Tribolium castaneum: one gene and its partners. The protein of the gene in region 3 interacts with the protein of the main gene of each other region in a biochemical or structural test. Links are inferred from orthologs where the notes say so. Each region holds a gene or a part of one and is shown on either strand. Other genes may lie near its edges. The genes, in order: runt-related transcription factor 3, CrebB, Cdk1, Rpa2 and RpS3.

Evidence for each region.
Region 1: of the proteins of Cdk1 (region 3) and runt-related transcription factor 3, one has a biochemical effect on the other in vitro, tested with the Homo sapiens proteins (2 studies listed by BioGRID). The link is inferred for Tribolium castaneum from reciprocal best matches to the Homo sapiens genes CDK1 and RUNX1.
Region 2: of the proteins of Cdk1 (region 3) and CrebB, one has a biochemical effect on the other in vitro, tested with the Homo sapiens proteins (2 studies listed by BioGRID). The link is inferred for Tribolium castaneum from reciprocal best matches to the Homo sapiens genes CDK1 and CREB1.
Region 4: of the proteins of Cdk1 (region 3) and Rpa2, one has a biochemical effect on the other in vitro, tested with the Homo sapiens proteins (2 studies listed by BioGRID). The link is inferred for Tribolium castaneum from reciprocal best matches to the Homo sapiens genes CDK1 and RPA2.
Region 5: of the proteins of Cdk1 (region 3) and RpS3, one has a biochemical effect on the other in vitro, tested with the Homo sapiens proteins (2 studies listed by BioGRID, with this or other methods). The link is inferred for Tribolium castaneum from reciprocal best matches to the Homo sapiens genes CDK1 and RPS3.

What each region holds. Positions count from the first base shown.
Region 1 is NC_087399.1:3,633,263-3,638,390, forward strand, and holds the start of runt-related transcription factor 3, read right to left. Parts: upstream 3,175-5,128; 5' UTR 2,942-3,174; intron 1-2,941.
Region 2 is NC_087395.1:6,448,692-6,453,116, forward strand, and holds part of CrebB (cyclic AMP-responsive element-binding protein 1), read right to left. Parts: intron 2,722-4,425; 5' UTR 2,703-2,721; coding exon 2,541-2,702; intron 2,535-2,540; exon of another isoform or gene 2,297-2,534; intron 2,243-2,296; exon of another isoform or gene 2,012-2,242; intron 1-2,011.
Region 3 is NC_087401.1:17,534,311-17,538,384, forward strand, and holds Cdk1 (cyclin-dependent kinase 1), read right to left. Parts: upstream 2,182-4,074; 5' UTR 1,974-2,181; coding exon 1,300-1,973; intron 1,243-1,299; coding exon 996-1,242; 3' UTR 929-995; downstream 1-928. Other genes in the region: transmembrane protein 53, read left to right, coding at 1-20, 139-291, 340-468, 517-678; CCT6 (T-complex protein 1 subunit zeta), read right to left, coding at 2,389-2,604, 2,655-2,806, 3,600-4,074. UniProt on the Homo sapiens protein: Plays a key role in the control of the eukaryotic cell cycle by modulating the centrosome cycle as well as mitotic onset; promotes G2-M transition via association with multiple interphase cyclins.
Region 4 is NC_087399.1:4,631,247-4,634,837, reverse strand, and holds Rpa2 (replication protein A2), read right to left. Parts: upstream 2,051-3,591; coding exon 1,964-2,050; intron 1,918-1,963; coding exon 1,819-1,917; intron 1,773-1,818; coding exon 1,659-1,772; intron 1,615-1,658; coding exon 1,235-1,614; intron 1,188-1,234; coding exon 1,103-1,187; 3' UTR 1,023-1,102; downstream 1-1,022. Other genes in the region: probable multidrug resistance-associated protein lethal(2)03659, read left to right, coding at 1-480; triokinase/FMN cyclase, read left to right, coding at 2,309-2,537, 2,579-3,256, 3,558-3,591. UniProt on the Homo sapiens protein: As part of the heterotrimeric replication protein A complex (RPA/RP-A), binds and stabilizes single-stranded DNA intermediates that form during DNA replication or upon DNA stress.
Region 5 is NC_087402.1:7,605,509-7,610,233, reverse strand, and holds RpS3 (ribosomal protein S3), read right to left. Parts: upstream 3,030-4,725; 5' UTR 2,988-3,029; exon of another isoform or gene 2,914-2,987; intron 2,338-2,913; exon of another isoform or gene 2,285-2,337; 5' UTR 2,235-2,284; coding exon 2,205-2,234; intron 2,017-2,204; coding exon 1,650-2,016; intron 1,595-1,649; coding exon 1,437-1,594; intron 1,384-1,436; coding exon 1,213-1,383; 3' UTR 1,170-1,212; downstream 1-1,169. Other genes in the region: Kr-h2 (Krueppel homolog 2), read left to right, coding at 1-5, 55-286; cathepsin O, read left to right, coding at 3,146-3,325, 3,372-3,874, 3,924-4,230. UniProt on the Homo sapiens protein: Component of the small ribosomal subunit. The ribosome is a large ribonucleoprotein complex responsible for the synthesis of proteins in the cell. Has endonuclease activity and plays a role in repair of damaged DNA.

The DNA of each region.
Region 1 (5,128 bases), on a different chromosome or scaffold from region 3:
AAATAATTTTTTAAAAAACCTCGAAAAATATTTTAAATTTCCTATGCAAACCTCATATCGTTAGAAAGCTTATCAAAAATGCTATCAATACATAAAAAAATACATGGTGTTCTAGTTGAAAAAAATGAGTTAATCAACTTTTTGAGTTTTGGCACACTCTGTATATTAGCAGCGTGCTTTAACTAAAAATCATCTATTTGTTAACACTGCAAGGTATTGTAAATTTTTCTATTTTTTTTTTCTAAAATATTCAAAGACGACTTCGCAGTGATTTTTCAAAAATTGTTTTTTTTTATAACCAAAAGTTGAATACGAAACGAAAAAACATATACCCATAAAAATTTATAAAAAGTTACATTATTTTTTTGTGTAGAATCTAATTATGCAAAAATATATGGAATGTTCTATTTAAAAAGTATAACTTTAGTTCACCACCGTGTATACAACACCCTGGGTGTAATAAAAATACTTTTTGTTTGTGTACTTTAAGTCAATCGATCGAAAAATAAAAACAGCATAGTAATATTTCTCAAATAACAAAAAAGTTATAGACCGGTTACACACCTCTGGGTCACTCTGTATAGTAATATTTTGAAATTTAAAAAACTTGCACCCACACCTAAACTAACCTAAGCCAACAACATTTTGAATAATTAAAATTATTTTAAGTAAAACCCATTTATTTAAAACATTTAAATAATCAACAAACAAAATAGAAGGTGAAAAAAAAAAGAAAAAATAAAAAAAATTGAAATCTGTCTAAAAGTAAAATTTGTTTTAAACTAAATCATGCTTACAAGAAGCTTTATTATTTCGTACAAAAACATATAAAAAATTAATTGGAAGGGCCTACACGTAAATATTTTTTTACCTACATGGTTTAAGACTTGGTTAAACACATTCATTTTATGGCGTTTCCAATGTAAAAAAAAATGAAAAAAATATCAACGTCGTTTCAAAACTGAATGTATGTTAGAAATAATATTTACAAAATGACCATTAAAAATTAAAAAAAAATCTAATGCCTAATAAATTATGACTACGTTCTCAGACCAAAACACGTATAAAAACACCAAAGCCTCAAAATGAAAAACTCGCCAGCCAAACGATTAAGATTTTTATTTCAAACAGCTTGGTATTTTTAATTTTTTTTATATTGTTAAAAATAAGCTTGATTACGCGACAATTCTAATTCGTTGGAAGCACAAAATCTCACACTTAGGTTTCTTCAAAAAAACATTAAAATTTCTAAGTTGTTTAAGCCTTTAACACTCGGTTAAAAATATTTAAAACTAGATACGAACTTATTTGGCCGTGAATAATAAGTAATGACAACAATTCTATTTATTATTTTTCTGAAAAATCCAATTAAAAATTTTACTTTGACACGCTTATCTAAACAGCTGATCCAGAAATACTGCTGTCTTTTGGCAATACTTCTAAATTTAAATTTTAAAGAATACAAATTACGTACTCTTCCAGTTAACAATAAATCAAAAATTTTGTAGAGTTATACGTCAAAATAATTTCAAAAAAAATTGAATTCAGTAGCGGTGTTAAAAATTACGAACAAAAATACTTTTCTATTTAATTAAATGATCTAGACTTTATTGCCTAAGTATATATGAAGAACATTAGCAGCTTGATCAAGTATTATATAAAAGAAACTTTAGTCGTCTTATTCAATATTCAATATCTAATTTTCGTGTTATTTAGTCATTAAAATTTCACATTTTCGAAGTTAGGGAATAAATATTTTATTTTTTATTTGTTTTCTAGGTAACAATTAATTTAAGTAATTGTAGAAAAATTCTGAAAAAATTCACATACATCGAGTCATAGAAAAATAACGTGTTTTTTTTATTTTTTTTATTTAATGTTAATAATGCAACTATCATAGCAGAAGTTTTTGTGAATTCTAGAAAAGCACTGGAAGCATCTTTTGTAAGTTTCTTTAGTTCATATATATCCTATATACAATTAATGTAAGTTTTAATTCTTTTAAAACAGTTAGTTCAAAATACATTTTAACTATTTTTACGCAAATTACAAAAAAAAAATTACAATGATTTTGAAATTTTCCGACGCGAGGTAATGTCAATGGAAACTGCACATTTACTAGAAACAATTAAAGTTTTTTCTACCTCAAATAATGCACAAAAAACGTTTAATAATAGGAAAAGGACTAATAAAATGTAATAAAGCCATAATTATTTTTCAGCGCAAAAATATTTTTTTATAAAAATTAAACCAACAACAAATTAACAAGTAAACCAATTAGTTGTACAAGTAGGGCGAGACTGATACCTCAAGAAGCCTTACACACACTCGATGGTTTAGGTCTAGAAATAAACACCCCCTTCTTGCAACTCTTATGTTACTGTTTAAACTAGTAACTTTTATTTCCAATTATTACCAATTGTTCCTGAAACTATATTATAAGCTTTAAACAAAAACAAATCGAAATTCCAAATAAGCGACCTAATTAAAAACGAAATGTTTTCATCTGATTATCAATTTTCGAAATGTATGATAGTTTGATTTCAATTACGCAAGTTGCATATCAAATCAGTTTATATTTATAAAACTGTGGGCAGTTACAAATTTGTACGCACCAAATAACTCATTAATCGTGCAATATTGTTTCATGTTCGAGTACTGCGCAAAAATCCACAAAAACTAAAACATCATTTGAAACATTCCCTATCGGCGACATCTCCCCTAAGCCGTAAAGCACAAAGTGATTCGTCGCTTCAATAAAAAACAACGGAGGGTGCCTCAAAGATGAATCAGAAATCAGCTGATCTGCCCCTCGCTGGCAAACTGGACCAGAACGTGATCCGACTGCCGAGCGCGCCCCAGCCCCGAAAAATAATAACACAGCATCGGCCCTTCGGCAGCCCCGTGCGTGCCGCCTCTAATTACTCAAGCCATTACTTACTGCGTGTGTGTGAAAAGTCGGTTTTAAGCCACAGGTCGGTCACTCGGCAACCGCGCGCGCGTTCGTTCTTTTCGCGTCGCGAGTTATTCTGACATTAAGAAAGAGTGTAAAAGTAAAGACGCGGGGTCGTTGTGTGGGTGGTCGAGGGGTGAAGTAGGCGGGGCGTGTTGAGGTAGACCGCCACCGCTGTCGCCGCCGCCAACCAGGAAAGACGCCGGATTTTTACCCTCAAACCAGCGTCGTTTCTTAGAGGTTTACCAAGGGGTAGAACTCAAGCGCGCGCAACTTCTAAACGTCTTTTCGGTTTTTTGCCGCCGGTGTCCCTCTCCAACGCGGGCAGCCGGCATGCCGTGGTCCTCTTCTGGCGTCTTGAAAGAATCACGTAGACGCTTTTTTGGTGGTGCCACCTTGCTCTGGTGCACGGTAATGGCCTGAGACGCTCCTTGTCGGCGTCCTCGGCGTCTTGCTCCGACGGCGAGCGTCTTTTTTCAACTGATAACGACAGGGCGAAAGCATCTCTACATGCAAATTACCGGAGGTAATTAACGGGTTTCGGATTTTTTACGAAAGTTCACGCATAAGGGGAGGGATATATTAATTAGGTGATCAAGGGAAGACAATGCGTGAGCTAATTAGGCGACCGAAAACCTCATTATGGCCAGAATTAGACGGAATGCGTGCAATGCTGACAGTTTGAGAGAACTATTTATAATTATGCTGAGCGCAGAAATTTGACCAAAGAAAATTTTTTCATCATCAGTACAACTAAATCATTTTATAGATTGTCATACTTGTTTAAATAATTAACCAAACCAAAGTTAAAAACTACTTAAACCAGCTACCTGTCCAAAGATTTTTAACTTGTAACAAGCTATGGCATGTTTAATTTGATACAAAGTCTAGACGCTATTATCTATAACTATACTTATTGAAAACACAAAACTATTTTTCCCAAAAATAATTAATTATTAGTAGGATATTATTGATTAGGAAATTTAAAATTGTCAATAAAAAAGGATCTCCATTAAGTTTTTTTTTATTAAAACATTTTGTAATTTGTAATTTTTTTGTGTTACGTTTTTAAAATATCATATTTCCAGAGTATGTTTTTTTGTACTTTGCAGACATTTTTGAAAATTATTTATATGATACATTTTTCTAGTCAGGCTGTAAATGGAAAAGTTAGTACCTTATTTAATTCAGAAAAAATGCCAAAAACTAAAAAAAGTGGTTTACTTAATAATTCCGATCAATAATAATAAAAGTTAAAAAATAAAAGCTCTTGACTACAAAGTTGCTCTTGTTTTAACTAGAAATTGTCGACAGTTAGTTCGTAAAAATCTTAAAATAAATTTGTGAAAATCTCGCCTCCGATAGAAATGGCTGGGATTTCATAAATCATTCATTACATTGTCGCTGATTTTTGTGTAGTTATCAGTTTTTAAAATAAAATAATAATATATATCTCATTACAGTTCATAGTAGAATTTTGCAACAAAGCATTTAATTTTTTGGAGTAAAATGGAGCATAAATTGAGAGTTTCTGGTGAGTTTTCTTAGCCCAAAAAGTGTCGCTAGAATTTAATTTAACACAGAATTTTTTTCTTTTAGAGAAACTCAATTTTTGCTTAATTTTTCAAAATTTAAATACGCTGTTGCAATTTTACCATAAACCATTCTAAAAGAAACTATTTCAAAATTGAAATTTTTTAATCGTCATTGAACATAAAACTATTATAATTAAAAAATAGAAAACTGAAATGGCACTGTTTTATTTTTTTAATGTAAGGAAAGTACGAAAAAAAAACAATGGTTTTACTTTTGAGATATAACTCTTTATTGGTATCACACAGTCATATTTTACATCAATCATCTCTGGTTCCTTATTTATTAAAACTAACAGTCATTTATAAGCTAAAATTAACAGAAAAACAGAAATGCCTAATTTAAATAATTTCGGTAAAAAAAATTACTTCTGATTATATTATATTAAAATTAAAACACCCACAATTGTTACTAAAAGTTTACCACACTGAAGTAGAAACAGTATTTAACTTCAGTGTCGTATTTTTTTCTATTGACCTGTTTTCTTCTTTTCTTCTATTTTTCATAAAATTAATAATAAAATTATAATAACAAAGTTATATAAATTTATATAAAATACCTACAAGTAAAATCTAGAACAAA
Region 2 (4,425 bases), on a different chromosome or scaffold from region 3:
AAATTTTAACGAGACTTACTCACTGCCCCTAATCACGTATTTGGTCAACACAAAAAAATAAATAATAAATAAATATTTTTGTAAAGGCCCTAAAATCTCTGAAGAAAATGTAACTGATTTTAGATCAAGTACAGGGAAAATACACACAATTGCCTTGCGATGTGAATATACAACTAATTGTACCACATGCTGCTGAAAATTCTCAAACTGTGAATTAAATATTGAAAGGTTAGTCAAAGTAAAGGAAAATTAATTTTCATGAAATTTTTGTATCATTGAGTTCTATGATCTTTGATGTATGTTCTTTCAAAATTGAATTCAGAGTTAAAAACATGCCTCTGTGTAATGAAGAGTACAATAACTAATAAACAAAAACATATAATTAAACAGAAAAGCTTGCTAACTAAATGTTTGGACAAATAACTGTTTTACAAGTTTAATATTCAATTAAGTCCCCTTTTGCTCTTACGATTGCTCGAATAGTGACCGGGATAGTTTTACTAGGTTCCAACAAAATGCAAAGGTAAAACCGGCGCATATTTTTTAATTTAATTTTTTAAATCGTGAACTGTTGCACTTTTTGAGTGAGTTCTCAGATGGCTTTTCATTTCGATATTTAGGTTCGGACTATTTAGAACAGTTAAAATATGTCCACCAAACCATTTTACCTAGTTCTCGCGGTTACATATTGCCCAATTTTGTTGAAAAATAAAATCACTTTGAGGATAAAAAAATTAAATGGTTAGTTAATAACTAGTATACTTTAAGTTTTTAATGGTCTATCGCCAAAAGATTTAGGACACCTCTATTGTTTCATGATAATTTTATTATTTTAAGGGGGATACCCACGCTAAAAAGCGTTGAATTTCAGCCATTTTCCTCGGTGTTTTACAGCCATTTTAAGTAACGTTTTTGAAAGTTATTTACAGGCTACATTCTTCTCCTCAGGTTGTAGGGGAGAAGTTTTTTAAAATGCAATCAGTGCTTTGTTTATTTAAAAAAAAATAAATCCTGAAAAATGAAAAAGAAATGGCGTTCTTTGAACATTTCTTCCATTTAACATTAAGTATTAAAGAGAAAATGAAATACTTTTAGCTCTGAAGTGGACTCTTAGGAATAATGTGGCTTTTGTTTTAACTTGAAATTGTCAATCGTTAACTCGTAAAACTCTTAAAATGAACTTGCGGTACTGGCCTATGATATCAGCGATAGTTCCTTCTATTGTGTGCTCACCTCAATTCAGTGGCACATACCTCAAAAGCGGACTCGATTTGGAATTGCCTTTATACTGAAAAAGACGTTTTTGTAGAAATTTTGAAAAATTTAAAATTGGTCAGATTTTTCATTTATTTCGTTATATCTTTTTTCTGTATAAAGCTAGAAACGTCTTTTTTTGCAAAAGATTGCATAAAGAATGTAATTTTTAATGCAAATACACAAGTTTTAATTTTAAGAAAAGGAAACTGAGAAAATTGGACAAGATTACGATTTCAAAGGTAAATTTTTCAACAATTTCCACAGAACGCAGTTGCAAACAAAACTTCGGATTCGAAGTCAGCAGAAAATTATGCTTAAAGAATTAGTTTAAAAAAACGTGTGTCCTTCAACCCGGGCGGAAAAATATATTATTAATTAAATAATTACTGATGGACCCTCTCCTGGGCAGTTGACGTAAAGTACATAAAATATTGACGGCAAGACACTCATCCTGGAAAGACAGGAATTCTCCCCCTTAAGGTTATTTGCATGTCCACAACTTATTTTCATACAAGACTCAATTTTTTTGCTCAATTGAAATAAAAAAGTGCAAGTTTTACTCAAGATGTAACAACTTCTTTAAGTGAAAATAAGCAATTTTCTTCCATGAACCATTAATAATAATATCAAAAACCCATTCTGTCCGAACATTATTATTTGTTACCAACCTTTACTTCTCGATTGTAAATTGTCTTTTGTACCGAACATATTAACTGCGGTTGTACTTATAGAATTACAGAACTAACTACACTAATGGTTTTTATATGTTTATTAGCATAATTTGTCCGAACATATTTAATGGTTAGGGCTAGTAAAAATCAATATTATTTTTATGATTAGAATATTTTTGTGAACAATTGATGATCCTGATTACTTCCGGAACTTGTAGATTCATGTAGGCATGGACAAATGATTATCAGAAATGCGGATGTTATCCTCAATACTCAGACAAAAAGATAGCAAAAAATAAATAAGGGTTGTATACCTAAATACAAATTTTTTTATTGGGTTCCTACTTATTTCAATTTAATTTTATTACTTTCACTTTTAATTCTTCCTTTTTGACTTGCCCATTTCTTTCGCCAAATAGGCATTTGTCATATGCACCGAAATTAATAGTATTTTTTTTAGATTTAGTTTTAATTTTTAGTTTTTAATTTTTTAATGTTGCAAAAATTCATCCACAAGAGTATGGAGTGTCTGATGCAAAAATTTTCGGTCTAGCTCAAACGAAAAATGGTAGACGACCAGGATCATGCACGGAGGGGCAGGAAAACCCCTACCTGTGCTTGGGTTTGAGTAGGCAAAGTTAGTTGGACAATGTTAGTAGCTGTCATCAGATGGGACTGTGAGTTTGAGACCCCTACCGAGGCGATGGGTGATTGCGGGTCCGGCGATGGGGCCAGTGGATCAACTGCTCCATTCTCTTCCACTATCCCTTCCATTGCCTAAGTACAAAAGCACCTGCAAACAACAACAAACACACTTGGTCAAAATCGCAACAAAAACACCATCAGCGAGAAGCGAACGCGATTACATTTATTAATAAATTTGTGACGTCATTATTGAAACCAACACAGAACTTGTTCTTTTCGGACAAACAACCGTGTGATAGTCGCGTGACGTAACAACCTATTTTAAAAATTACCACCCTGCTTACAAATATTGACTTTTTTAATTATTATAACCTGTTTAATACCAAAACAGGTCATAATGATAACGAACAGCACTTTAAACAATCAACAATCGAGCTGTTTATTTTAACAATAAATGAACCGGCAGTACGTGCGATCAAGCAATACGTTTTACTGGAGTTTTTTCATGGTTGAAAACATTTTTTTCTTGTCTTATTTTGCATAACATTAAATTTCTACATGCCAGGAACCTACACATTTATAAAGGAGTGTCCTTTTTTTATCATAAGATTAGAAATAACTGAAATGTTTGGTTTGTAGGCATTATACATAAAACATTAAATAATATTTGTTCTGGAAGTATGTACTGCATGCTTCACATAATTTTAGGAATGCAATCGACAATACAGTATCTGGTACAAACCCAAATACAAATTTCGAAAAAAGTCTTCGCAAAATTGTGAAACACTCATGAAATATTAAAATAATCCGGATAATTGAATACAGTACGTAAAGGTTTTGCATTTAAAAAAGAGGGTTACCCAATAACATATTAGTCAATTTCACTATGGATGAAGAAGTTATTTACAATTTAATTAGGTGCGTTGCCTCCTTAATTATTCGCATGATTATTTGAGAACAAAAAATATGCAATAATTATTATCGACTAAAAACTAGAAAACATAAAAGTATCCTCTCCTAAATAATGTGCAATACTATTCAATTACGTCATTTGTTATCTTAAAAAGTTATAATTTTTACATAAACATGATTAGAAATGAATAGCATTAATCTAGTTGTGTCACTGAACTAAATAAGGAATAAATACCCTGATTTTTTCTTAAACGTAAGACGTACGTATTTTGAAGACCTTTCCTCATTTTTTAGTCTGTCGATCAATTGTAAATTTCGGAGAATTTGAGTCGGGGAAAAACCAGTCATATCCTTCATTTGACGTCAAATTCCCGTTTTTTTTTCAAATTAATCTATAGGGTGTGGCAACTTTTGCTACCAGGGTCAAAATGTCGACTTCTAGTTATGAAAGCGGACATCTCTGTATAATAACGTATGTGATTCTGCTACGAGGGATGTTAAAATATTATTGTTTCTAACACTTCCAATCAAACATTTTTATAGGACTAACTCAAAAAAGTAAAAAAATACTTCTACATCAGTGACAATAACTTATGAACTGCCCTCGTATCATAATTAACTCTTGCTTAGTCTTGGGTTAAGTAGATCTAAGAAATAAATTATGGCAAAATTGTATAATCCGCTGAGAAAAGAATTATACAGCTCAAAATGTCAAGCATTTAATTAAATTTAAACAAAACGATACTGAATGAACTTTCTTATTCCAATTTGCAAAAGCAAGAATAATTATATTAATCCGCATCTTTTGCTTTTGCTTTTGAAATTTTAATTGGAGCTTATCGAAGTCATAAATACCAAATATTTGCGACGAAGTAAGTCTAGTTATTATAATTAATTATTATCAAAACGTTAATTTCTTTTTAACCTAGTCTTTGGGAAA
Region 3 (4,074 bases):
AGAGCCCCAAACCGATTCAGGTAAAACTTTCCATGTATAATGATTATTCATGAGATACAAAAATAAGCCTTGAAATGCTGTTAACTTTGCCATAAAATGTTTGTTTAAAGTATCGGACAAAATGTACTGTTTGTGCAGATAAAAGGAGTGATTTTCGACTCAGCGCCCGGAAAACGTCGCGTTCTGAGTCTGTTTCGGGCCATTTCGGCAATTTTGGGTGGAAGGCCCCTTTACAATATTCCCGCTTCAGTCCTCATGACTATGTTTTTGTCTATGATTTGGTTATACGAGGTGCGTTCGCACCAAAAACTTTAAATATTCCTTGATTTATTATTGTAGGTTGTTAGCAATTACATCAGTCCGAAAAAAACGTTCCAATCGAACCCGTTAGAAAACTTGAAAGATGATAAAAACAACTGTCCCCAACATTTTATCTACTCGAAAAAAGACATTCTTATTCCTTATACGGTAACCATCTTAACTATTGTAGCCAATCATCTTTTTTTTTTTTTCAAGGATATTGAATATTTCGCCAACTATCGAAAATCTCTGGGTATCGATGTAACAACTCTCTGTTACGAAACAAGTCCTCATGTTAAACACTACACCGAAAATAAAGAAAGTTACGTGAGTAGCGTATGCAATTTTTTAAATAAATGCCTAAATGGCACAAATTAATTCACACAAAAAACATTTCAACGCTTAATTAAACTTTAGGGTACAATTTATTTTTCTAGACGTTGTTGAATTGCACAAAATGTATTTATTTCAATTGTTTCATTAAAACTATGTTCCCAAATGATCTGCTTTATGTTGCGCCACTGTCCCGCATTTCCTTTCACTGTTACCATAGCTACATTGACGCATCACCATAGCAATATACACGTGCAGCTCGTGCATGATGTATTAAGGAGGTTTTCAAACACAAAAGATTTTTTAAACAAATATATTTAGAAAATAGTCATACTAAACACGATAAACCTAAACCTAACCGCTTATTTAAGGATCGGCTTTATTGACGTATCAACCTTTTGCAAATACGGATGTAAAGCGATTTTTTTGGCCGAAATCCTCTTGGCCGGGTCATAAATCAGCATTTGTTTCAACAAATCTATAGCGTCGCTAGTCATATTTTTTACCTGACTTTCCAAAGTACATGATTTCCAATTAGGGAACGTAACCTTATATTCAGGTAATGTGGACACCCCTGGCCAGATTTCGTCGCTTGGTGTTTTCAAAACCCTGAATCGAAAAAAAATGCAAGTTGTTTTCGTTTCTATAGTTACATGATTTGATTACCGAAAAATGCGGAAAAGTTGGTCGATTTCGGAGTCGCCTTGGAAAAGGGCTTTTTTGTTGGCCATTTCGGCGAAAATGCAGCCCAGAGACCAAATATCAATAGGGCACGAGTAACGTGCAGAGCCGAGGAGCACCTCGGGGGCGCGGTACCACAAAGTGACAACTTCGTGCGTGTAAACGCGAACCGGGACCCCAAAGGCGCGCCCTAGTCCAAAATCGGCCACTTTGATAGCCCCTTCGGAGTTGATGAGCAGATTTTGGGGCTTAAGGTCGCGATGAAGGACTCGTCTTTGGTGGCAGAAGAGAATGGCTTCGTTGATTTGGTAGAGGTAGCTTTTGACGAGTTGGGGGTCCATGTAGGAGCCCTGTGGGATGGTGTCGAGGTACTTCTTTAAGTCCATTGACAAAAATTCAAAAATTAGGTAAAGACGATTCTCTTCCATCATCACGTCTTCCAGGGAGACTATATTGGGGTGTGTGAGCTCCTTCAGGAGGGAGATTTCGCGAATGGCTGTGGAAGGCACACCTTCGTCTTCGGGTTGCAGTCGGATTTTTTTCATTGCGACTAGCTGACCCGTCTTCTTGTTTTTGCCCTTGTACACCACACCGTAAGTGCCTTCACCAATTTTTTCGATCTTGAGGAAGTCATCCATGTTGGCCCCCTGTTTCGACATTGCCCCAATATAACCAAACTTTCCACTTAAAATGACGTTTATAACGTCAAATTGCAATGCCTACACGACCACAAACACGATATTTTATTCAAAGCACACGAGTTTTGTTAATTTTTACACACTTTTAACGGCTCGTTTGAAGAAATATGGAGAAAGTTCGTTGGAGATTTTTGAACCAACCAATCGGGTACAATTATCCCCGTCTCTATCGCACTCACGTCAATCACAATAACCTGTCTTTTTTTTGGCGTAAATAGACACACATTACCAACTTCAGACACACAAAATTACTATACGATCGCCAAATAATAGCTTTGGCCAAAAAATGGGTGTTAAAATCCTTTATTATTGTTGTATAATAATTACAAAATCAAGCATTAATACGTGAATAAAATTACTGACAAAAAAAATCCATTTAACCTTTCAAACTGCTCATTCCGGCTCTCATTATTTCATCAACCAACAATAAATTGCTTGCAATCACCGAACACGAATTAATTATTTGTTTCTTCACGATGTAATTATCGAAAATTCCGGCATCTTTCGGATTAATCGGTTGTCCTGAAGCTAAATCAAGCCCAATTGGTTCCTTATTGTTACGAGATTCTTCTTGAAGTTTTACAATAGTATCCTAAGAACAACAAATAACTATAAAACAATCAATGAGAAAATCACACAAACCTGAGCATCGAAACCAGAATTCGTTGCCAAAACTTTGGGAATTACAAGAAGGGCTTCCGCGTAAGCACCAATTCCAAGACGCGATTTTCCTTTAACGGTGTCCTTGTAAGCCATCAATTCTTTGTGGGCGGTCACCTCAAAAGCCCCTGCGCCTGAAAAATATCACAAAAAACTGTTTTGTGTGCAAAATCAATTTGAATTAAGCGCTATGACATTTAGTGATTTTATTGGTACGGTTGGTAGCGAAACAATTGGCGGTGCATCAAATTTCGTGATGGCCGCTTACCGCTTAGTAAATTCGGGAAAAATCGCTGTTAAATCGGTTATTTCGTGCAAATGTTTGTGCAAAAGTGTTCAAAGACTTTCAGTGTTCCGATGTGTTGATCTAAACGGCGATTTTCAACATTGACAAGTAAGTACCGAAGTTGGGTTTTTGGTGATGGGAGTAGTTGAAGCAACTCGTAAATTCAATTTTTGAGCTCTATTTTAAACGGAAAACGCATTGTGAGTCTAATAAATTAACAATTGTGTGGCCAGGTCAGGTCATTGACCCCTATTTACAATTTCAAAGCCTAGTAACGCACATTTTTAAGACGCGTCACAAAATGACTGTGACGTCATCCATTAAGCAACTAGATATTTTGTTAATTTCGGGAAATGAGTGAGTTTCTGACTGAAAAATAATGCGCTGGAACCTTAAAAAAAGTTCAAAAATAATATAATGCTGGGCTTAATTTTGTAGTTTTGTGCAAATATGCTTGAAAAACGGCCTAAATTTAACGATAGTTTAGATTTTTTACAATTCTTGACTACAAAATTTAAAAAATACACAAATTTGGTGATTTTTTGGGAGATTTATGATGAAATTCAGCAAAAATTCCCATGTAGAAACTCATAAAAAGGATAATTTAATTTTTTTTTAATTCAGTTTTGTCTTTTTATTACCTGGAATCAAGGCTTTGTCCTCTATGGCATTATTGATGGCCCTTAATCCATCCCTCACAGCATCCTTGATTTGAGTGAGAGTGTGTTTATTGGGCCCTTTAATAAGAATGGTGACCGACTGTGGTATTTTGCATTCCTCAACGAAAGTATATTTATTTTCGCCCAAAACATGTTCATAGACAACTCCAGCATAACCCAATTGCGATTCTTGCATATCATCGAAATGATTTAAAGCGATTCCACCACAAGCCAAAGCCAATCTTTCCATGTTGCGTCTTTTGGCTCGTCTTAAGGCCATTATACCTTCCTTGGCCAAAAGATCAAGACTCATTGGATCAATCCCTTTCTGATTAATAACAACAAAACTCTTATCAGTGCCATCGCAAAGTTTTTTCTTCAAAGCAATGACTTTTTTCACCCTCTGTTCAATAAATTCACGCTCAGCTTGAACCATCTTCTCGCGTTCTTCTGCCGT
Region 4 (3,591 bases), on a different chromosome or scaffold from region 3:
GACCCCGTGTTATTTTTGGGAACTTTGCGGAAAAATTTGGACCCGTTTGATGAATTCACCGACGCTGAGTTGTGGTCGGCCCTTGAGGACGTTGAATTGAAAAGTGTGATTCGGGACTTGGAAAGTGAGGTTTCAGAAGGGGGTTCGAACTTTAGTGTTGGACAGAAGCAACTGCTTTGCCTGGTTAGAGCAATGTTGAGAAGGAACAAAATTGTGGTTTTGGACGAAGCTACGGCTAATATCGATCTCAAAACAGACGAACTGATTCAGTTAGCCATTCGACGGAAGTTTCAAGAGTCGACAGTATTGACCATTGCACACAGGTTAAATACTGTTCTGGATTCTGATAGGATTTTAGTGATGGATGGTGGAGTTGTGGTGGAGTTTGGAAGCCCAAACCAACTCCTGGAAGATACTGACAGCTATTTTTATCAGTATTTTATGCAGGGGAATAAGAATCAAAATCTCGAAATGAAATAAACTTTTATTAGTCTCGTCTATGAATATTTTACATGTTATTTGTAGCTTCCACAAAGTACAAAAACACTTTAGCTCTATTACACAAATAATAATCGAAAAAAATTGTGCCTACATTATTAAATTTTCCTTAAACAAAGGCTACGATGTAATTGTGTATTTTTTGGAATAAAGAAGGTACGAATACTTAAAGATTTCGCTAAAATGTTTTATCCACACTACCTTGTACATGAAAAAAAAAACACGCGTACTCTTTATTTTTCACCTAGCAACAATTTATCTCAATGTGAGTATAATTGGTTGCCTGAACTTTAAACTCAACTGAAAGAAATTTCTCTAATTTATCTTTTATTTTTGTTTCTGTATCGTCCGTAAAGGTACAGAAACTAAAATGAGTTCATAAAATAACCCAACCGCACATGTTGGTATTTTTTTCATCCATCAACTTTTAACTCATCGTAAAAAAAGTCAACTTTAGTGGTTTTAATCTTTTCTAAGACCTTTATAAGGATGTGTGAGGATTAATAGGTAAAAGAAACACGAGCTTTTGCAAAGGAAAATGTATTTAAAGTATACGAAAAATGTAAAGCAACCAGGGTGTACAAAAAAATAAAATGAAACAAATTTAATCCGCATCTGTGGCCTTGTAATGATCGGTGTCAACAGTAGTATACACATGCCCCTCATCCAGCAAGAAATCCAAAGCGACTCTGGAACACACCATCAAACAAAACCCCACCTGTAAATAAATACGCACTCAGCCTCCCTTGCTTGTGCTCCAAAGTGCTGCATAATTTCGCTCCTACTCAACCCAGTCCTACTTTTGATAGGTTTCAACAAATTGATAATTTTGACTTGCATCGGCTTAAGTCCCGACGAATTATTTGCAGCAGCTGACGTGGACGTTGTGGCCACAGTGGTCGATAAATTAGCAGCTGGGAGCCTCCCATCGGCCAGTCTTTCAGCGTATAATTTAGCTTGAATAATCTCCAAGAGATGATTTGTGACGATGTTTAAATCATCAACTGGAAGGATTTTGAGAATCATGATCATTTTTTCACCGTCTTGGGTGCGCACTGAGCCGAAAACACGCACGTAGCAATTTTCCTTGACGGGGGGAAGGGCCGTCACAGTGTCCTGCTGGCAAAAATAACGAAACGAAAACGAACAAATCTACTTACGTTATCGGTCTCCAGCCACATAATGGCCTTAATGGAGGCACTGTGGTCCTCAATGGTGCACGTGGCTTTGGTCGTCTGGACCTCAAAGTCTTTCAAAACCCCCACGACATCAGCCTGAATTTTTCATACAAAAAACACAAAAAAACGGGATAAAACTTACGAAATGGACCGGCATCCCGTACAAATTGAACTCCTCATCGGTGCACTCAAGGATATGCGAAATGAACAAAGGGACAACACTTTGCATGCGCCTCACTTGCTGCAATCAGAGGAGTAAAGACAAGCACAAAAAGCGCCCCACAAACCTGTTTTTTCTTGGCAGTGGACCCTTGGTTATCATCATTTACGAAACCGCCGTTGTTACTGATATCAAACTGATCAACACTAAACATTTTCACGTTTTAATAAAAATCAACAATTGCGGTTAAGAGTGGCGGGAAATTCTGACAGTTGCCTGACACCTTCGTAGGGACTTTCCATTTGCACGGGCAAAAACTAGGGATTTTTACATATTGTTCAAAATTCAAAAATAAATTTTCGAAAAAAAAATATTTTTTACAAAACAACCGGCCCACAAGTCGGGGGCCACTGATGTAGAGGGCGCCACTTTCCTGTTTGTTTTGTGTTATTTTAGGTTATCTCAAAATTAAATGGAGAGCCCCCTTGATGTGGGGAGTGGGCCGGTGAAGGTGCGCGACGCCCTTCTGGGGCTCACTGCGCTCAACCACGACGTGGTCTTGCTCGACTACGGCAATGTCGTGATCCAAAGGGATTACAGGAACTTGTCAAAGGTCCGACTATTGTCAGGCGGTGTCGCTGGGACTGACCTAATTCACGCCGTTTGTGTGGGCAAAGGGATGCTAACGGCTGCCATTCTGGGTAATTTACCGAATTATTGGCCCTGTCTTACTGTTTTGCAGGGGAGGAGACGGTGCCAAGCTCCCGTCAAATTCTGCACACGATTAAGGAGCTGAACGAAGGGGACAATTGCGGGATTTGTGTGATAGTGCAAGCAAACGCTGATTTGTTCAATTTTGGGTTGGCGGTCGAACGGGCCAACACGGACTGCCGGACACGAGTTAAACTACTCCCAATTAATGACGATAAGAGCGCTAAAAAGGAGCGATATTCGTGCGGGTTTATCCTCCTGGCTAAAATTCTGGGGGCCTTGGCGGAAAGCGGCGCCTTGTACAATGATGTTTGCGAGTGTTATAAACAAATAATTGATCAAATTATAACCGTTCCTTTGAACTACACGCACGATGGGTCGGGCACCCGAAAACGCAAAAGTTTAGTTCTGTCCGATTTTGAGTCAAACTTTAGACACATTATTGATAAAAAATCGCAAGTTTTCTTAGGCCTTCACCCCTCTATACCGACGGTCGCTCTAATTAACGCGTCTAGAACAATGGAGAGATACGTAGAGTTGAGTTTTGTCAAACAAGTCATTGAAAGACTGAAGGAACTGGGCGTTTGTGTTGTGCGAATTTATTACGGGAATTTCATTTCAGTGGCCCCCGGAACGGCCTTTCTGACCGTAATGAAGGTGCACGACATGAAAATTATCGATTACTTGGACGCCCCATGCGGCGCCACCGGTAGGTCTTACATATTTTTTACAAAAAATATAAACAATGCATTAATAACAATTGTTATTAACAATACGAGTGCGAAAAATCAAGCTTAAAGTTCGAGGACTGTCGTTATGCAACGAGCGTATGCGAGTGTGATTCAAGAAAAATTTTTTTGTTGGAACATTTTAATTTAAAAACAAAAATTAAAAATAATTAATAAAAAAAAATAATAAAATAATAAAAAAAATTAAAACAATAAAAATAAAAACACGTTTTTTTTGCTTTAAAGCATCGAAAAGTTAGTGCACAGCACTGTTTTTTTAAGGTTGGCGTCATTTCACGCAATTTTTGCCCGAAAT
Region 5 (4,725 bases), on a different chromosome or scaffold from region 3:
GCTATGTAAATAATCTAAATGGGGTAATATTTTTTATAAAAATTGTTTTTGCAGGGGACGGGCTAGTCTACTGACGCCTTTTATCTATTATCATTTTTTGACTCAAAGGTACACATCAAGGCGTAACCCTTACAATAGAAACATGTTCCATGAACTCAGAATCTTGTTCGAAAAGACCGCAGCAAAGCCCAATCTACCTTCCTTTGTGAAGTCAATCTTGCTAGGGATTATCAATTTCACTGTTAAGTTAGCACCTCCCCAGGTGCAAGCCCAGCATCAGCAGTGAGCTAGTTGTTCCATGTATCCTTATTATATCAAATGTTCGTGATATGGGTAATTTTAACGCCTAGTATTGTTTATTTGCACTTGTTTGGTACATGTTCATGCAATTTTTTGCACGAATTTGAGGTATGGTTGCAAAATTTCGTCCGTTACTTTTTATATACTTTTAACCCAGGAATGATTTTTTATTAATTTTTAGTATGGATGGTGTAAAGTAGTTTTGTTATATCGTTATAAATGCATTGTGCTCATGGAGGTTTCTGTTGTAAAACTCATTCGAATTAAATTTTCTCCATGTCATGTTGTTATGTTAATAAGCAAAAGTTTGTAATTTCACAATAAAAAAATATTTAAAAAAGGGCGTTTTATTGAAATACTCTTCATTATTCCCATTATTCTTCATTATTCCCATTTTTTATTTTTGTTATTGTTATTACGAACTATGATCCAGTTCAGAGATAAACATTTAGTAAACAGGCCGAAAATTAAAAATTGCTTTAAGCTCTCTTATTTTGCGAAATTCCTTTAAAAACGGACAGAATCACGATGTCTTTTAAATGCTTACTTTAGCACATTTTTAAACCATATTTTGTTCAAAAAGAAACGGAAATTATCTACGCTGCTTTTGCCTTTTTCACTCAACAATTAGTTGCTTCGCCAAAATTTTTGTTTACGTGTCATTTTGTAAAATCTTACTTAGTTGGAAATTACGTAGCTCCAAAGTTTAGCTAATTTTCTGAAATGTCGATAAAACACGTCGCAGTTAATGACTCACTGCTTTAGAGGAATTTCTTTTTTTAGAAGGGAGAAAACATTCCCAATGGCAAAATTAGGAATAAGGTTGAAACAGGAAGGGCATTTTTCTTGGTATTAAAATAAAACGAAAGTTATCTTTCCAGAATTTTATTGAAAATTAATCTTATGATAACTTTAAGCTACTACTGGAATAGCTGGTGGTGCGTCAGGTTTGACTGCTTTGATTTCACTGCTGGGGTAGGCAGGCAAAATCTCCTCTTTAGGTTCCACAACAGAGACATTGTCAGGCAGAGGCTTTTTGGGGCCTGTTTTGCCGCTGGGGTCCCACGGCAACATAATCTTGACCTAATACAACAAAATAGCATCATACAAACACCAATAATTTTACAAAAACTTACTTTAATTCCCAGCACACCCTGTCTTAGCAAGACGTGGCGGGTGGCTGTGTCCACATAATCATTGCATGGGTCCCCAGAGTGGATCATGAGACCGTCAACAAACTTCATCGATTTGGCTCTCTGGCCACGCAGTTTTCCAGAAACTACAACTTCACACCCTGCAAAATAACCACTAAATTAATTCAAAATACGTTTTGAGCCAAATGTCCAAACCTTTAGCGCCACATTCCATGATGTACCTCAAAACACCATAGCAAGCCCTGCGCACGGCCAAACCTCCGATCAATTTGAATCTAAGAGACTCTGCTTGTGCAATGGCACACAGACCCCTGTTGGCCACCTTCTCGCCATACAAAACGACTGAGTTTTCGGGGAAATTGAAACGTTTCTGTACGACTGAAGTCAATTCACGAATACGACGGTTCTTCTCCCCCAAAACACGGTCAGTACGTGTGGCCATGATGATGATTTCCGTGCGAGTTGGGGTGACTCGGACCTCAACCCCGGAGTACCCATCTTCTGATAATTCACGAGTCAAGAACTCGTTCAATTCGGCTTTGAAAACGCCATCGCCAACAAACTACAAATAAGCGCAACATCAAGTCGGTGAACTGGGGACCACATGTGGGAAAATGTTGGGTTATGGTTTGGGGAACAAGTAAACATGAATGTTAGCCCAAACATGTGTGCTTATTTTACAAGATTTTGGGCTCTAATGAAGAGTTAAACATGTTTAAGTGGATGGAAAGGCCAATTTCTGGTATTTACCTTGCGTTTTTTCGAAATTGGAGTCGCCATTTTGACGTTCTAAATGGAAAAGGTTTGACGTGTGGCGAGCGGAAGTCGACCTAATTGGGAAGGGATGTGATAGAGGACGCTTACAAGGCGGCTTATTTGAATAATTTTTGGAGAGAAAACTTTCTTGCATATCGGGTAAATAACGTAATGAAAAGACTGTTCTTTTTTCAGTTTTTTTACCTTCAAAAAATTATTTTTTTTTTATCTGAGTAGCTCCAACCAAACCAACAACTTTTATGAACTTTTATGTGTTCAGAACTCTTTTTAATCATCTATCGTTTAAAAAAAGGTCATTGTCCTGCTACTGGTAGTTTCCAAAAATATTATTATTGCTAACAAATGCAAAAATAGCCAAAATCTATTTCGGTTTATAACTTGAAAAACTATTACGAATTTACGACGCCAATCAATTCTCCAGACAATTTTGCATACGAATAATTGAAAATATCTCAATTTTGTCGTATATTTTCGCCGTAATTGAGAAAATAAACGCAATGTAATTCTACACAAGTTGCGCCAAATGTAAAATATTATCTTGGGGAAAGATCTTGGACCGAATAATTTATGCAACTGTTGCGTAAAACAATGTAAGACCATAGGCAAAAATAAATTAAAAACAAAAATAAATAAATAAATTCTCTAGTTTTTTTGGTAATTTTGTTAATTTCTGTCATCTATTTTTTATGTTTGTGGTTTGACAACATACGTTGAGGTTATGTCGTGACATTTTATACAATGTGGATCAAAAAATACCTGCTTAAACCTCATTCACCCTCATTATAAATTTCTGTTCCACTCAGTCACTTAACTGGGCCAGGATTGTGTTTCAAGATAATCAAATTAATAAACATGGCGATAGCGACAAATAGTTCAATATTATCATTGTTACCAAAATATCTGTTTTGATAAGAATGGCTTCGTGGAGCACTTACTTGCAAGCGATTTTCTACATTGCTCTGTTATTTTTCGTTATCCCTATAAGAATAAAAGGCCCAGACCAAGCCGAATCACAATTTCAAGAGTACTTGAAAAGGTTCAACAAGACATACGATGACCCTTCTGTGTATCAAAACCGTCTTCATGCATTTAAGGTAAAACTTATAATTTGTGTCCTTGTTGTATAACGTCGCTTTTCAGCAATCACTACAAACAATCGAGACTTTGAATTCCAAAAAAAGGAATGGTTCAGCACTGTACGGTTTAACGAAATTCTCGGACTTGTTACCAGAGGAATTTTTCCAAACCTATTTACAATCAAACCTGAGTCAGAAGACGCATTCAAATGAGCCAAAACGACACCACCATAAACGAGCAACAGTGCCTAATAAAGTAGATTGGAGAGAAAAAAACGCAGTGACTAGAATTTACAACCAAGGCAGTTGTGGGGCCTGCTGGGCCTACTCTGTTATTGAAACTGTGGAGTCCATGAACGCCATCAAAACCAACAAGTCTGAGGAGCTCAGTGTGCAAGAAATTATCGATTGCGCTGGTAACAACAAAGGGTGCAATGGGGGCGATATTTGCACTTTACTGTCTTGGATCAAAGCCACAAATTTCACGATTCAAAGACACGCCGATTATGGGGGTAAATGTGGCCGGGGCTCGGCTGGTGTCCATGTTAGAGACTTCATGTGTGAAGGGTTCGTTTAGTTATTTTTTAAGTTTATTCTTTCTTATGGAAACTTTCAGATTAGTGGGGTCTGAAGATGTTATGTTGAGGCTTTTGGCGGATAATGGACCCCTGGCTGTTGCGATTAATGCGCAAACTTGGCAGAATTACATTGGAGGTGTTATTGAGTATCACTGTGATGGGGATCCGTCAAAGTTAAATCATGCTGTCCAGATTGTTGGGTATGATTTGACTGCAAGTATTCCGCATTATATTGTCAGGAATACGTGGGGTGTGGACTTTGGGGACGGGGGATTTTTGTACATAGCTGTGGATAAAAATATGTGTGGGATCGCAAACGAGGTCTCAGCATTAAGAGTACTGTGATTTATTTAGATAGTGATGTTTAAGTGTATCCATTTTATGTAGAAAATGTATAGGTTTTATACACCAAGTGAGAATAAATGTTTTTTTATTATTGTATTTTTTCTTCCATAGTCCTTGAAAATAAATACTGGTCGCCACCAATGAGCTTGTAATAATTAACTCCTTTTTTTGTGAAAAAAACTCACACATCTTCAGTTTGTTGTTGCGTCAGACATTTTTTTTATAAATAAGCTTCATGGTCCTTCCCTTTATAAAAGCAGGTACGTATTTCATAACGGATTCCAGTTCCAGTGGTTTAAAGTCGTCTAAATAATACAGAGCCATTTCTCTTTTGTTACCTAATTTTTTGTTGCTATACCTAATTTTATACTGGTACATTTTTATAGCAAATTTTGCTGCAGCTTAAATAAGAAATCCGATATTGCGTCAAGATTTTCGAGAAAGAAATAAAAAAAATGTTTTTAACCAGGGACATGTGCACTATACTTACATAAA